Linked DNA regions of Arabidopsis thaliana. The protein of the gene in region 2 interacts with the protein of the main gene of each other region in a pairwise test. Each region holds a gene or a part of one and is shown on either strand. Other genes may lie near its edges.

Evidence for each region.
Region 1: the proteins of AT5G57210 (region 2) and EXO70H1 interact in a two-hybrid assay, tested with the Arabidopsis thaliana proteins (one large-scale study listed by BioGRID).
Region 3: the proteins of AT5G57210 (region 2) and AT5G09800 interact in a two-hybrid assay, tested with the Arabidopsis thaliana proteins (one large-scale study listed by BioGRID).

Annotation. Positions count from the first base shown.
Region 1 is NC_003074.8:20,439,978-20,444,665, forward strand, and holds EXO70H1 (exocyst subunit exo70 family protein H1), read right to left. Parts: upstream 2,674-4,688; 5' UTR 2,589-2,673; coding exon 678-2,588; 3' UTR 514-677; downstream 1-513. Other genes in the region: AT3G55140 (Pectin lyase-like superfamily protein), read left to right, coding at 12-248.
Region 2 is NC_003076.8:23,180,282-23,185,945, reverse strand, and holds AT5G57210 (Ypt/Rab-GAP domain of gyp1p superfamily protein), read left to right. Parts: upstream 1-1,892; 5' UTR 1,893-2,240; coding exon 2,241-2,437; intron 2,438-2,567; coding exon 2,568-2,671; intron 2,672-2,752; exon of another isoform or gene 2,753-2,769; coding exon 2,770-2,946; intron 2,947-3,025; coding exon 3,026-4,638; intron 4,639-4,735; coding exon 4,736-4,858; 3' UTR 4,859-5,113; downstream 5,114-5,664. Other genes in the region: AT5G57200 (ENTH/ANTH/VHS superfamily protein), read right to left, coding at 5,345-5,664.
Region 3 is NC_003076.8:3,042,391-3,046,195, forward strand, and holds AT5G09800 (ARM repeat superfamily protein), read right to left. Parts: upstream 2,157-3,805; 5' UTR 1,963-2,156; coding exon 733-1,962; 3' UTR 514-732; downstream 1-513. UniProt on the Arabidopsis thaliana protein: Functions as an E3 ubiquitin ligase.

The DNA.
Region 1 (4,688 bases), on a different chromosome or scaffold from region 2:
TTTGTTTGTAGGCTGCTGACAAGGAAGAAGCGAGAACTGGGTTAGTACGATCTGAAAATGACTTGTTCTTGAATGGAGCTCAACCTTCCTTGATGACAGGAGCCAGTGAAGAATGTGTATTCCATCCAAGTGAACACTACCCAACATGGACTGTGGAGCCACCATCAGAAACTCTCAAGCAAATCATGCAAATTTGTACCGGTTGGCAATCTTTGTCCCGTCCTTCTGATCATGGAGTTCCTAAGTAATAGTTGCGATTCAAATGTTTTCTTGCATATCATATTTCCTTCTTTTTCTAGTTATTGAAGGAGTGAATAATGCTTTTGTTCTTCAGCACATTATGTTTACAGTATGCTGTGTGTGATTTTTTATGCCTTTTTCTTCTTTGTGATTTGTAATTGGCTTCTTGAATGTATATCACTGAATCGAATTCTTTATCAGATTTATATCAGCTTCGGTTATTAGAGACTACTCGTTTTATTCTTAAAGCGTATCGCAAGTTTGTTTTTTCTTAGATAATGAAGAACTCGTCATAAATTATGTAAAGAAAATCTCATTTTTTTTTTTTTGTTCTCATTTTCTGTTGCACACACAATGCAAACACACGTATCTACATTTTTTTCACTTCACATCATGTAAAAAATGGAATATTTAGCCAAAACTATGGATCAAGTCTCTCAGCCTGAAACACACCCAAGTGATTTCCAGGATGAAGAGGAAGAAGATGAAGAAAAAGAAGAGGATGCATGAATTGGTGTACCGTGGAAAAGATCAGAGATGTAATTCTCCAAATTATCTGGCTTGAATCTCACCAAGATCTCAATGTTTCTCTCCTGGCCGAGCATTGGTAAGTACTTCCTGTAAAACTCTCTGTATTCTGGTACAAGTTTCTTTGCTATTGAAACCTTTAGTTCGTCCCTAAGTTTCGCATTTGGTACAACTCGTGATGATTGTTTCATATATGCTTCCTCAAATGCCGTGTGAAATCTTCTGAAATATATTTTAGCTTCCTCTGGTGATAGGTCTGTGGGTTCTTCTGGTAAAGACATGAAAACATTGGACCATGCTGCTATCTCATAATTCCCAGCATAAGCGCAGAGTTTATCTTCGTGCTTATTGAGCCAATCATCTCCAAGGAGATTCCTTAGGGGAGTTGAACCAACCGTTTCAATGATGATCTGAAGGTTGTTTGCAAGGAAAAGGTAAGACAAAGAAACATCCTTGTAATGCTCTGCTTTGGTGTCTAGTTTGCATAGCAAAACCAGGATTAGCCAAGCAAAATGGACAGAGAGTGCGTGATTGTGTTGTTCATCTTCCGAAATTGGAGCTCTGACATAGGATTCCAGCAGGCGAGTGTTTCTCGGGAGTGGATGGTCTGCTAGGATTTCCGACAAGACTCCGCTGTACTTAGAAAGGGAAGAGATGAAGTTCATTGTTGATCGTGTCAGTTTATGAATCCCTCCTCCAGGTGTTAGAGCTTTCGTCGTATCTTTCTGAATGATTGATTCAAAATCCGTGAGAGCACTGTGGATTGAGACCTTTAGTTTTTGCAGCGATGTGAGCGCCTGAGATTTCACACCAGCTACTGCATCAAAGTGGAATATCATCTCTATGTCTTGCCAGAGATCAGAGATTGCAGCCTGCAGATCCATTAGCGGGAAGATCCTCTCGTGCGATTTCTTCTCCTTGGCAACAAATTCAGGGAACTTGAAAAGGTTAGTGGCTGCTTCGTTTGCAATCTCGTAGAAGCATGACTCCCTTGTTGAATTGGAAGCAGAAAAGACATGATCACAAAGAAGTTTCTCTCCACGGAAGAGCGTGGCAATGCCAATCTTTGCAGCTTTTATCCAGTTCTTGATCATATGCTCGAGCGTGACCCAGTCCGTTCTGTGAAATCTGGAGCCTTTGTAGATTTCAATCCCGAGCAAGCTCAGCCCTTCATCTACAATAGATTTTCTGACCCGCTTATAAATCTTTACGCACTCCTTACCATATCCGCAACTTATCATACTCTCTGCTATCGCCTTAAGGTCAGACATCACCATAGCTGAAGCTTTCTCAACCTGAGTGATCGATTCGCCAGCTTTCCTCATCTCATTGTCACTTTCATCGTCGTCGTCAGATCCCATAACATCTTCAAATTCAGAATTGCTGGAGATTGAGGATTGACCGGAAACTGATTCAGGATCAAGCTTGTCTCTGTTTGAAGATAATATCTGGAAGAACTCTTTTTCGAGCCTTGCCATGGCGATCTGCATCAGGGTCTGAGCTAGAGCAAGCTTTGGAGATTGAGAGTCTTGAGAGACAAGAAAGTGCATCGCTCTGCGCAAATCACGGACACATCTGATGAACTCTTTAGCCTCCTTCCTGCTATGGTTGAACAGAGAGACAATCTTGGTGAAGGAAGGCGTGTTCGGGTCCCATTTTCTGATGACGGAGTCCGCTGTCTCCACGGTTTCCTCCATCATAGCCTGAGTAAAGTTCTGGTTTAGAGGAGAAGCCGGGAAAGAAGTGAATGAAGAAGGCGAAGAAGGATGATATTTAGGAGATGACGAAGAGAAGAAAGAAAATTTCGCCATTTTCGCCATTGAAGAAGAAGAAGCTCTCTATTCTCTTCTTTCTGAATTGAAAGCGAAGCCTTTTAAAATGGTGTTACTTGGCTTTTACTCTTTCTATTTTAATTAGAAAGATGGTTTTTAACAATTATATAGAGAGCGAGATTGGTCTTGACTTTGAAAATGAAATCGATGACGATGTGCTTACCTGTGATTATAGACCCAGACCACAAAGAACCATTGACTTCGATGTATAATATAAGCCTTATATACTTAAAAGATAACTAGAGTACAAATTTTATATACATATGGGCGACAAAGTTTTTGCTATCCACGTCTAGAACTAGAATTATATGACTATTTCATTCTGTCAACTTATAATTTTATATAACAGTTAAATTCATCAATTTCATTTCATTTGACTTTTTATTGCATCATTCGCATTATTGATCACTAATTATACTTCTTGTTCGAATTTCGTATTGGAAGTTTTTTGACCAAAGAAAAAAAAGAAGACTAATAGAGTTTCACTAGAAAAGTCCGAAATTTATATATTTAGCGTTCTCTTATATAAACGCGTTTCTACATTTCAATTCTTGTGTGTCTGTCAACGTCTGCATTTCAGTTAATAAGTTATAGTTATCACAGTAATTAACGTTTTGAATCAATACTATGATACAATAAGTTGTTAACGCTGTCCTTGCAAACTAACAGCTATACGTTTATTGTAATAGTTAAGAGAAAAGTGTTACAAAATATTTAAGTTGATTTTACAGCCTAATGTTATATTAGCACTGTTGATGTGTCATAATCTGATAGTATATGTTTGTGCTTATAGAGGATAGAAAAACAAATCACAAATTATGTATTATATAAAACTAATATTCTTTCGTCTGACCAAAAAGATGATCATAAAAGATACGTACTATACTTCATGATCTTGTCTAGAAGAAAATAAAACCTATATTCCAAGTTTTCCCATACATTAGATATCATATACACAGACACAAGACATTCGCATGTTATGTATGTATGGTTTTGCAAGAAAAAGTCAAATATACGCACTCATAAATCATGATATAAAGATATACGAACCGGAGGTATTGGCAATTTCCAGGCGTTACAGATTCTTAAAAGACCAAAATGGAGATTCGCTTACCAAAGTCAACTACATTTACATATACATTTCAACTAATTTGGCTTCAACGTCGTATATACGTGAGTTGTCTAAATCATTATAAGAGCATATAAGCTAGTCAACGTTTTGTTTCGACGACTCTCTTTCTTTAAACAATGGCTAGTGTTACTTCACGTATTCGGTTACATTGCTAACGAACCTTAAAGAATTTAGTTATTGTAGCTGTCTTTTTTCCTTAAAAGTGGAATCTTCTTCAATCAACAAAGCAATGACTATTGATCAATGCCATCATTTGATTACAACTCACAGTTTTTGTTTTGACAATTATCTTGTTATATACATATGAGAGAAAATGAACTATAGTAGTGTTTAGTTCGTTTCAGATTGAGATTGATTATGTTTATGTTATTTGTTTTTTTCCCAAACTTTACTAAGGAAGATTGTAAGCTTGGGGGAGCCCTAACGAATCAGAAATGAATGATATCGTAAGTGCGAAAACAATTTGAAGACTGGACTGTGAAGCGGTCAACTCTCAGGCGTAGATCATCGGAGTAAAGACAATGCCAATGCAAAAGTCAAAAGTTTATAAAGTATCTTTGATAACCCCAAAAATGATAAGAACATAATAATCCAAGTGGGTATTTTTGACTTATTATTATATAGATACATTAAACTCTAATGTAGCTGGTTCTACTTCTAGTCTTCCTTCTACAATGTGTATTATCGTGTGACACGAACCAACATTTTGGATGAATAATATAAACATTTCTTTTGCTCGGAATGCTTACATGTTTTAGAATATGAACCTCTCCCTCTCCGGTATAATGATATGTTTGAAGAATTAAATCTTTTAGTTTAAATATATCAGAGGAGATCAAAGATCTTTGACAGCAAAACAGAGGTATACATACAACAAGAGAATATTAAACTTTGATGTCTTACTTTCTACAATGTTTTCTTCTTCTCTCATTCTGTATTATCAATGCAGAGAATAA
Region 2 (5,664 bases):
CCAAAACCAAAATAGGTAAATATGATTAGATAAAATATATATTTTTTAAGAAAATAAGAAATGGTGCTAATGCTTTTGGATTTGATCGTGAGTTAGTGTGACTAGATTGTTTTGTTAGCGTAATCTAAAATAATTGAAATAATTTATGTCCAAATTTATTTTATTTTTAGCCAAATAAAGTAATACAAAATAAATGTTTCAGCTATACTACTTTAGCAAAGAGTAAACTGTAAAAGCAATACAATTTTTCATCCACATTTCTGTTTCTTCGAGCTTCTCATTTTCTACCATTTTGTTTTCATTTCTCATCAATTACATACTTTTGATGATATTAAGAGAGAAACATTAACAGTAACAGTCACATTATGTAATCAATTTCTTATGGAATAAATCGAATATAAAATTAATTATTTAAGTTTTAGCGAATAATCAAACGTTGAATATTCAGATAATTGTAGAATACATATCGATAAAATAAAAAGCCAAGAGCAAGACGAATACAAAATGTCAAAATATCTAAAGATAGATAAATGGAACGAGGAGAGGTAGTAGAGTTGACCCGCCATCTTAAGTCGGCTTTTCTGGTCCAAATTGGAGCGTTTATTTCTTTCTATTATAAGTTAGGTTTCGTAAGCATGCCCCAATTCATTTCAATGGACCTTACTGGTAAAGTCTTTGCTTGATTCAATTATTTCTGAGAAAATCACTCTCTCTTATTGTTTGGCGGCACGGTCAAATCAGTCATATTATTTTCTAAGCTAAATTTTACACACGATACAAAATTTGCATATGAATTTTTTAACTCTGAACCAAATTATAAAGTGCCCTTTTACATTTATTATCATTTATTTTGTACCTAAAATTCCTATAAATAAGAATAAAATATTTCTGACGAGGTTGGTAGTAATTTTGTGAGATTAGACTGTTTGACTAACAAATCTAAGAAAATGTGTGATGGTCAGGAAAACGGTAGACATATTATTGACTCGTATCATTTCTGTATCTATCCGTATTTTATGGGAATATCCCATTTATTGATAATTTGATATGGTCACTACTCACTACAGATATCAAAAGAATTTCTGTCTATTGCCTGTAAAAGTTCCTCATATATGCATCTATCCATATTTTATGAAAATATCCCTAGTTATTGAAAATTACTGATCAAACTTTTTTTTCTCTTTTTCCTTACTTATATTTTGCAGTATTTTTTCCTTCTAATTCTTGTCATACTAGTGCCAATAATCATGCTGACATATTTAACATTAGACCCAAAAAAAAAAAATCATGCTGACATATTGATCAAGATTGAAGACTTTGCATCAAGATCTTTTCTACTCTTTGCTTGGTCAAAATGCCAGTTTCAAATGTTTATTTCTTTATAAGACATGTTAAAAGATACTAAAATCTGCATATCGAAACCTATCCGTCGCGTTATAGAAAGCGTTTAAGATATTAGATCCATTAAAAACAGGATTTACATTCTACTAATTTTTGTCCATTGAACGGTGAGCTAGTCTGTGGACTATAATATTTTTACCGAGTTGATAAAGTATGTTTTATCAAACATTTGGCAATTTGATGAGTTTTTGATGCATAAAATTATAATATTTATAGAAGAATAACATACAAGTGGATGTTGTCAATAATTTGTAACGCGTTATAGTAACAAAAATCATGCCTCATATATATATGTTTATGTAAAGTATGAAGAGTGACTGACCCTCTTTTAAAAAAGAGGCATAATGAGAGGAGAAAAAATAGACTTACACATTTCTCTCACGTCGAGTTTGATACTTTACTTTGAGTGATTCATTCTTTTGGATTTTTGTCTTCTTGTTCAAAAATGATCCTCGGATTCTCTTCATTTTAGAAGAATCTATTGAAGAAAAACAAAATTCAACAATAACAATAGTGGCACAGAAAAAATAACAGTAATAATTTTCACTGTTCTATCTTATTTTTTGATGAAAAAAGATGAAGCTTGAGAATGAAACTACGTCGTTTTGGAAAACATGAAGTCATGAACCATTCTTGTCTCCAAGCCAATCACAGATTCTCAGCCTCATGAAAAAAAAAATGAATACAATTTTTGATTCGATTTTTGTCGAAAGAAAAAGTGACAAAAGTTTTTAGCATAATTTTATGTTTTCTCATAAACAAAAAGTAAACCCAAATTGTTTTTTCGAAACAAGAATCGATTTGGCACGAAATCGAAGATTTGATGAATTGTGTAAAACATGGCGATTCATGAAGAAACCCAGATATCAACAACACAAGACCCTCCTTGCACTTCTAATGATGCCTCGCCGCCTCAAGATCATCGGTTCGAGAAGCTTCGTGGCGTCCGATGGCGAATCAACCTCGGAATCTTACCGTCTTCTCCTTCCTCCACCATTGATGAGCTTCGCAGAGTAACAGCTGATTCCAGAAGAAGGTTTTGACTTTCCCCTACATTGAAGTTTTTGCTTTTAGGGTTTGCATTTCTCGATTTGGTAGCTCCAGATTCAGACTCAGAAACAAAAGAATTTGTAAAGTTTTGATTTTTAGATGTTGTTGTTTATTAGGTATGCTGCTTTGAGAAGAAGACTCTTAATTGATCCACATTTGCCTAAGAAAGGAACAAATTCTCCAGATCTTACTATTGATAATCCTTTATCACAAAATCCTGGTAAAAATCAAAACTTTACTATCTCATTTCTCAGATACATTCAATTTGCAAATTTCTCTCCAATGTAATGATAATGTAAAGCTTTCTGGATTGTGTAGATAGTACTTGGGGGAGATTCTTTCGTAATGCAGAGCTCGAGAAAACGCTTGATCAAGATCTTTCTCGGTTGTATCCAGAACATGGAAGTTACTTTCAATCCTCTGGATGTCAAGGGATGCTTAGAAGGATACTTCTTTTGTGGTGTTTGAAGCATCCTGAGATTGGTTATAGACAAGGTTAGTAGATACTTGATTTTTCGAGTGTATTACATTGCGAATATGGTTTGTGATTTTTAATGGTGTTTTTTGGTTTTAGGGATGCATGAACTATTGGCTCCTTTGCTTTATGTTCTTCAAGTTGATGTGCAATATCTTACGGAAGTGAGGTCAAACTATGAAGATCAGTTTGTTGATTTGTTTGACGAATTAGCGTTTCAAGAACGCGATTCTGGAGCTTATGATTTCGATATAAAAAAGGTTTTGGATGATTCCATGGAAGATGAAGAAGAAGATGGTCCACCCTCTGGAAGCACAAAGAAGAAAAAACCAAAGAGTTTCGATGAACTCGATACCGAGACGCAGACCGCTGTGTTGTTGAGTGATGCGTATGGAGGAGAAGGCGAATTAGGAATCGTCCTCTCTGATAAATTTATGGAACACGACGCTTACACTATGTTTGACGCTCTTATGTACGGTGGATCCTCCCTTGGTTCGGTTTCTGTAGCCAATTTCTTCATCTATTCTGCTCCCAACGATTCCATCACGGGACTGCCTCCTGTAATTGAAGCTTCTGGGGCATTGTATCATCTACTTTCTTTAGTTGATGCTTCTCTTCACAGCCATCTCGTTGAACTCGGTGTTGAACCGCAGTACTTTGCGCTTCGTTGGTTACGGGTTCTGTTTGGGCGAGAATTTCCACTGAGTAATCTATTGATCGTGTGGGATGAGATATTTTCCGCTGACAATTCTGAAGTAGAGAGAGGCGTTGAGGCTGATCTAGGGTGTGAATTCAGGATCCTTAGCTCTCCTCGGGGAGCTCTGGTCGCGGGAATGGCGGTTTCGATGATACTTTATCTTAGATCATCGCTGCTAGCAACTGAAAACGCGACTTCTTCTCTTAAGAAGTTGCTCAATTTTCCGGAGGACATTGATCTGAGTAAAGTTATCGAAAAGGCTAAGACATTGCAGAGTCTTGCTTTGGAAATCAATGCTCGTCGTGATTTGATTCCGAAAGGACCGAGAAAACCGATGAGAGGTCACAGCTTATCAGTTGATTCGATCTCACTTGGTTCTTCTCCTGTGGGAATAGAACCTGAGAGCTACTGGGAAGAGAAGTGGAGAGTTTTAAACAGCGCAGAAGAAGAAGAACGGAGGAAAAAAGCGTTGCAGAGACCAAAAGCAGGGAAGAAGAGTTGGTCGGAAAGAGTGAAGCTAAGGCTTTCAAGGACAGAATCCGATCCGTCTCCCGCTGAAGCAAAGAGAAGCGGGAACAAGCCTCATATTAGACGTAGTTTGCTCGATGATTTATCCCGACAACTAGGGGAAAAAGAGATTGAGCCTCCCGAGTTCCCAAACCCAGACACCGATATCGAACGCTCATCTACAGTATCTGATACTCCCAGTGCAGAGTATGAGGATAACAGTTCTGATAAAGGCAAAAGTGAGAACCACATGGATCTGCCTCTTTCTATCCCGGAGAACGAGCCAGAGGCGAAATCAGGGATGAATATTTTCAGAGAGAGGAAGATTCTTTCGGGTAAATTCCAGAGGCTATGGAGGCTAGGTAGAAACTTGTCTGGCGAAGAGACCTCTGAGACTAAAGAAGCTAAACAGGTAGATTCTGAAGACGGAAAAACCGATTCAGATTCAACTTCAGGTCCTGGCGATTCATTAAAGAATACAGGACGGTCCATGCTTGAACATATTAAGGTAAAAAGTTCACGAATGTTATCTGATGATGGATTTGATTGTTGTGAACCCAAATTAAGCATGACTTGACTCATTTTTTTGAATGTTTCGGTATCAGGTGATAGAGTCGGTGTTGGAGCTAAGTTCACCAGAGAATATGACTGAAAACGGAAAACTAACAGTTGAAGAAGCTCTTAGAGAACTTCGTAGACTTGGAAATATGTTATTGTCGGAAATGTAAAGTTCATTGCAGACTCGGCTTACGTAATTTCATTGTGTATTATGAAAATTCATTTTTCTCTGTGTATGTGTGTGAGAGAGACTGAGAGAGTGTAATGTATATATGAGAAATTTTGAAGAGTTTTGTTTTTCTTTTAGCAGTTTCTTCTAGCACAAGGGACCTGAGTTTCTTTGGACTTTGTTAGCCCTAACGGGTTTTTAACGGTTTTTAGTGACGAGAGATAAAACAAAGTACACAAATTATAAATTTCCCTCCACTTTTTGCGCTGACCGTTAATTCTTACCGTTGATAGAGGAAAAATACAAAGGATTAAGGAATATTAAGCTTAAATAAGTACTAAAATTAAGGGAAAACAAAAGAGAAGAAAAAATCCTGACAAGTGTAGAAGAGTCTTATACTAGAAAAGAATGAAAGAATAATAATAACCTGAATCAAATCGAGATTAAGTAGAAGAAGAAGAAAAAACAAGTCATTATGATTACCATTCTAGAGAAGCATATGATTAGGACTGTATTGCTGCTGTGTAGTAGATGAAGGAGGAGCTGGGAGAGCAAGGAAAGGGTCACCAAAAGGGTTAGGAGATGAAGAAGTTGAAGGATTTGGTGAGAATTGATGATGATGATATGGTGAATAGTTGTTATTATATGGACTTTGGTTATTCATCATCATCATTTGTTGTTGTTGCATTGCCATTTGAACATTGGTTGGTGGAGCCATGTTGTTTGACATTGCGAAAGGATCTTGTTGCACCCCGAACGGGTTTGGGTTCGATGAAGCTAGTGCTCCGGGTATAGCCGTGGCTCCAA
Region 3 (3,805 bases), about 20 Mb from region 2:
TTGGACTCTGATAAAAAGCTCTCCCAATCTAGAAACTTTGATCCTCAAGGTTTGTATGTATAATATGATCTCTTTTTCTCTTTCTCAATTATAAATTTAATCTCGGAGTTTCACTTACTGTGTGTTCTTTTCTTTTCTATCCGTTGTTTCAGGGTTTTCAGTGTGTAAGTACTTGTGGGTATAGCATTGATGGAAATACGTTGAAGGTGTTGGAGTTATACGGGTGTAGAGGGAATCTTAGAGAAGTCGAACAAGTGAGGCTGTTCTGTCGGAAAGTGAATTTCTTCAAGTAATGAAAGTGGAAATTGGTACTAAGGTTGATGTTGACAAGAAATTGCAACTCACCAAAGACCTCCTTCCTTATCCTAACGTTCCTCCAAATGCCAAATCCACTTCTTGTAATCTTTTAAATCCAATTTTGTTTTTGACTGCTCAATCAATCAAGATTCAGTTTGTTTTAGATACAAAGACAACATCTCCCTTGATAGAGCATATTGATAGCTTTACTTTTAATACGATTTTGCCAAGTCCAAACATAAAATTCTGGTTTAGAGTATCAACATTGCAATGATACTAGTACTAAAGAACATTGCAATTTATTCTCAAAGTTCTAATGGCATTGGCCGTGATAACAATTCCATTCACCTTCCAAAAAATCTCTTTCCTTACAACTTGAATTTTTTTTACCAACAAGTAATAATCCCTAAAGAAGTTAATACGGAGGGGGGATAATCAAAACGGCATAATATGTGTCGTTTTGGTTTCGTATACCGAAAGGCAAGATCTTGAGTTCACCTTGAACACCTTAAGAAGATCCGTTAGCATATGCCTAACGGTAAGCGAGCAATTACTCTGTAAAAGTAACAGTATCTTCGTAACGCCGTTAATTCTAATAACGGCATCTTGCGCCTTCTTTTCCTTGAAAAGATAACAGACGCTCCACAAAACCGTAACGGCGTGTTCAGTCGCCGCCGTCGACACTTTCATCAGCTTATTCACCACCGTCTCCACGCACACACCATCACAAATCTCCGATCGACCTTCTTTACAAGACGAAATAGCTTCGAGAAGCTTTAAGCATTTTTCCGTCACTGAAACGCTCGTAGTTGGATCTGTTAACAAACTCGTGAGTTTCGTGACTAGCTTTTCTCTGATTAATGCGAGTTTCACGCGTTTTGAAGACGCAATCGCGATTAATAAAGATAAATTCGCTTCGATTAAGCTTGAGTCGGAATCTGAGCTTATCAATTTAATAATCTCGGTGACCAATCCTTCTCCCTTGGCGATTATAAGCTTTGACTCTGCGTCGACGGCGATAAACTCAAGCACGGCGGAGCAATCGATCTTCAATTTTGGATTCCCGCGTTTAATCAATAGGAAGAAGGAAGTCAAGCAATCACCACCGTTCGTTAAGATCAGATTCGATAACCGTCTCCGATCGAAGATTTTCCGACGAATCATGCTCAGAATCTTCACCGCTTCTCCAACGAGTAGCAATTGAGAATCAGAGAAGTTTCTGGAATCGCTAATGAGATCCACAAGCATCGCTACGAAATCATCTTTCCCGGCGAGAAACTCTCTGTTCTCATCAGATTCTCTCGCGAACCGGAGAATCTTCGAACGAGCATCATTCTCGATCCGGAATCTCTCAATCGCAGCGTTAATTTCGTCTCGCGTCGGAGTATCGGATTCCGGAGACTCAGAATCGGCTCGACGGTTGATGGAGTCGGACCAGTGATCAATGAGACGGTGAAGAGTTAGGTTAGGTACGAATTCTTTGTTCTGAAGAATCTGCATCGTCGCGGGACAAGTATTGTTACCATCATCGAGCCAACGTTGGATGCTAACTCGGTCGTATGTAACGCCGGTGGAGAGACTCACCGGAGATTTCATCACATCAAGTGAAATTGGACATTTGAAGAAACAAGGGACGGTGGTGATGTAAAGATCATCGCTCCTCATGTTTTTGCTCTTTCTTCTTCGGCGAAAACGTTTCAAAGAGAGAATAAATAACAAAATCACTGAGAGAGAAAGAGACGTGACTCGTGTGGTTAGGTTTTAAGAAGATGATGAGTCATGAGAGAGAGTTCAAATATGCTGACGTCAAAATTCACTTTTTGAACAACCTCTTGATACTTTTCCATTTAAAAAAAAATATAATTACGTTATTTTATTTTATGAATCTTAATTTTTTTAAATTATGCTAAGGTTTTAAATAATATGGAGAGACAGTTTTTTGTTAAATTGAGATTATTATTTACAGTAGTTAATAAAATTTCCCTAATTTTGCATGTTTATTTTCAACTTTGTATAACATTGGGAGAAAAAACTTTTTTGACATATTTATTTATTATATGCCAAACCCATGAAATGAATACTTTTCCGTATTTCGTTCTCTCACTTTTGGTCAAATAGTTGAGTCTGGGTATCTTTCGGCGCGCGTAGACTAAGATTTGTATTCGAGTTCATCTCAACCGTTAACAGTACCACCAACGGTACAGATTTCGCCTAAGGATCCACTTACATTTTAAAATTGCACCGTTCGAGGAAACTCGGGAACCTTTTGATTTCTTTTAAAGAGCCTATAAACAATTTGTCCAGTTCTCGTAAATAAAATACTCGTATTGTCCCTTGAAGAATTGTTGTAGTCATTAATATTTGTAAAACAAATGTGATAAAAGGAAGTGAACTTATTGACCAGACAGATTCGACGGCCTTTTGCAACTTTTGTTGCTTCCTTTTCCTTTTCAAAGTCCACTTTAAATAAAGTCTTTATCGATTACCTTAGCGACAAAGTGTCAATGACATCAAGAGTAAACTACTACTCGGTTATGTGAATGTGACAGTCCAGGCTCGTGTATGGGCCTTGTATGTAACCCAAACCATCGTTCGTAGGCTTAGTCATTTATTATTATTTTGCGAATCAGAGGCCCATTAAATTTACTCCTCTTTTTCTATGTCAATACATAGAAAACAAATAAAGAAAGAAGGCGAGTTATCGTTATGCTATAACCTCATCGCACTTTTTATGTTTTTTTGGTATGAGCCTCATCGCATTTGTTATCTTTATGATCGTGTTTATATTATATATGTAAATGTAGTGCGATTGCAATGAAATAACGTTTCTTTTAGTGAAGAATTGCGCTTAAGTTTTTGGCGGAGGGTAATTGTATTGCAAAAGTCACTAAACTTTAGAGAGAAGCATTTAACCTTTCGGATTACAAAAAAATACTGTGACAATAAAAAAAAAAAATCAATGAGAATGATGCATTGGAGAAAACGTGTATGAACAGATGGTCGGTAAAAAAAAAAAAAAAAACGTGTATGAACAGATGGTCGGTAATTAGCACGAAAATCGCTTTGGTTGTAATTTGTAATAGTACTATTTTATACTCGTATATTTTCAACAGTGTTGTTACAGTAACGCTAAGGAACTAGCCTGGACAAGCTTTTACATCTCATTTACTGTTGTTGTTCTGACACAACTACTGTTGTTGCCTTTTATGTTCGGTTTCCTTCGTTCTTCTAAGTTCTGACATCTTGTTCGTACAAAGGGGTCTCATCGTCATTATTCTCTGCCTTCAATATATATGCCGCAAAAGAGGATGCAACTCAAAAGTGTCCACTAAAGCTACGGTCTTTAAGTTGATGATTACGTTAAGGAAGATGTCCAAGAAATAAAAAGTTGATGTCTTGATGATGACTAAAATTTAGAATTGGTTGATCCGGTCTTGCGGTGCAGTAGTTGTATTGCCTGGTCGTTAAGTCACGTTACGTTTTAGCTCGAACTTGTTTTACGTAAAGG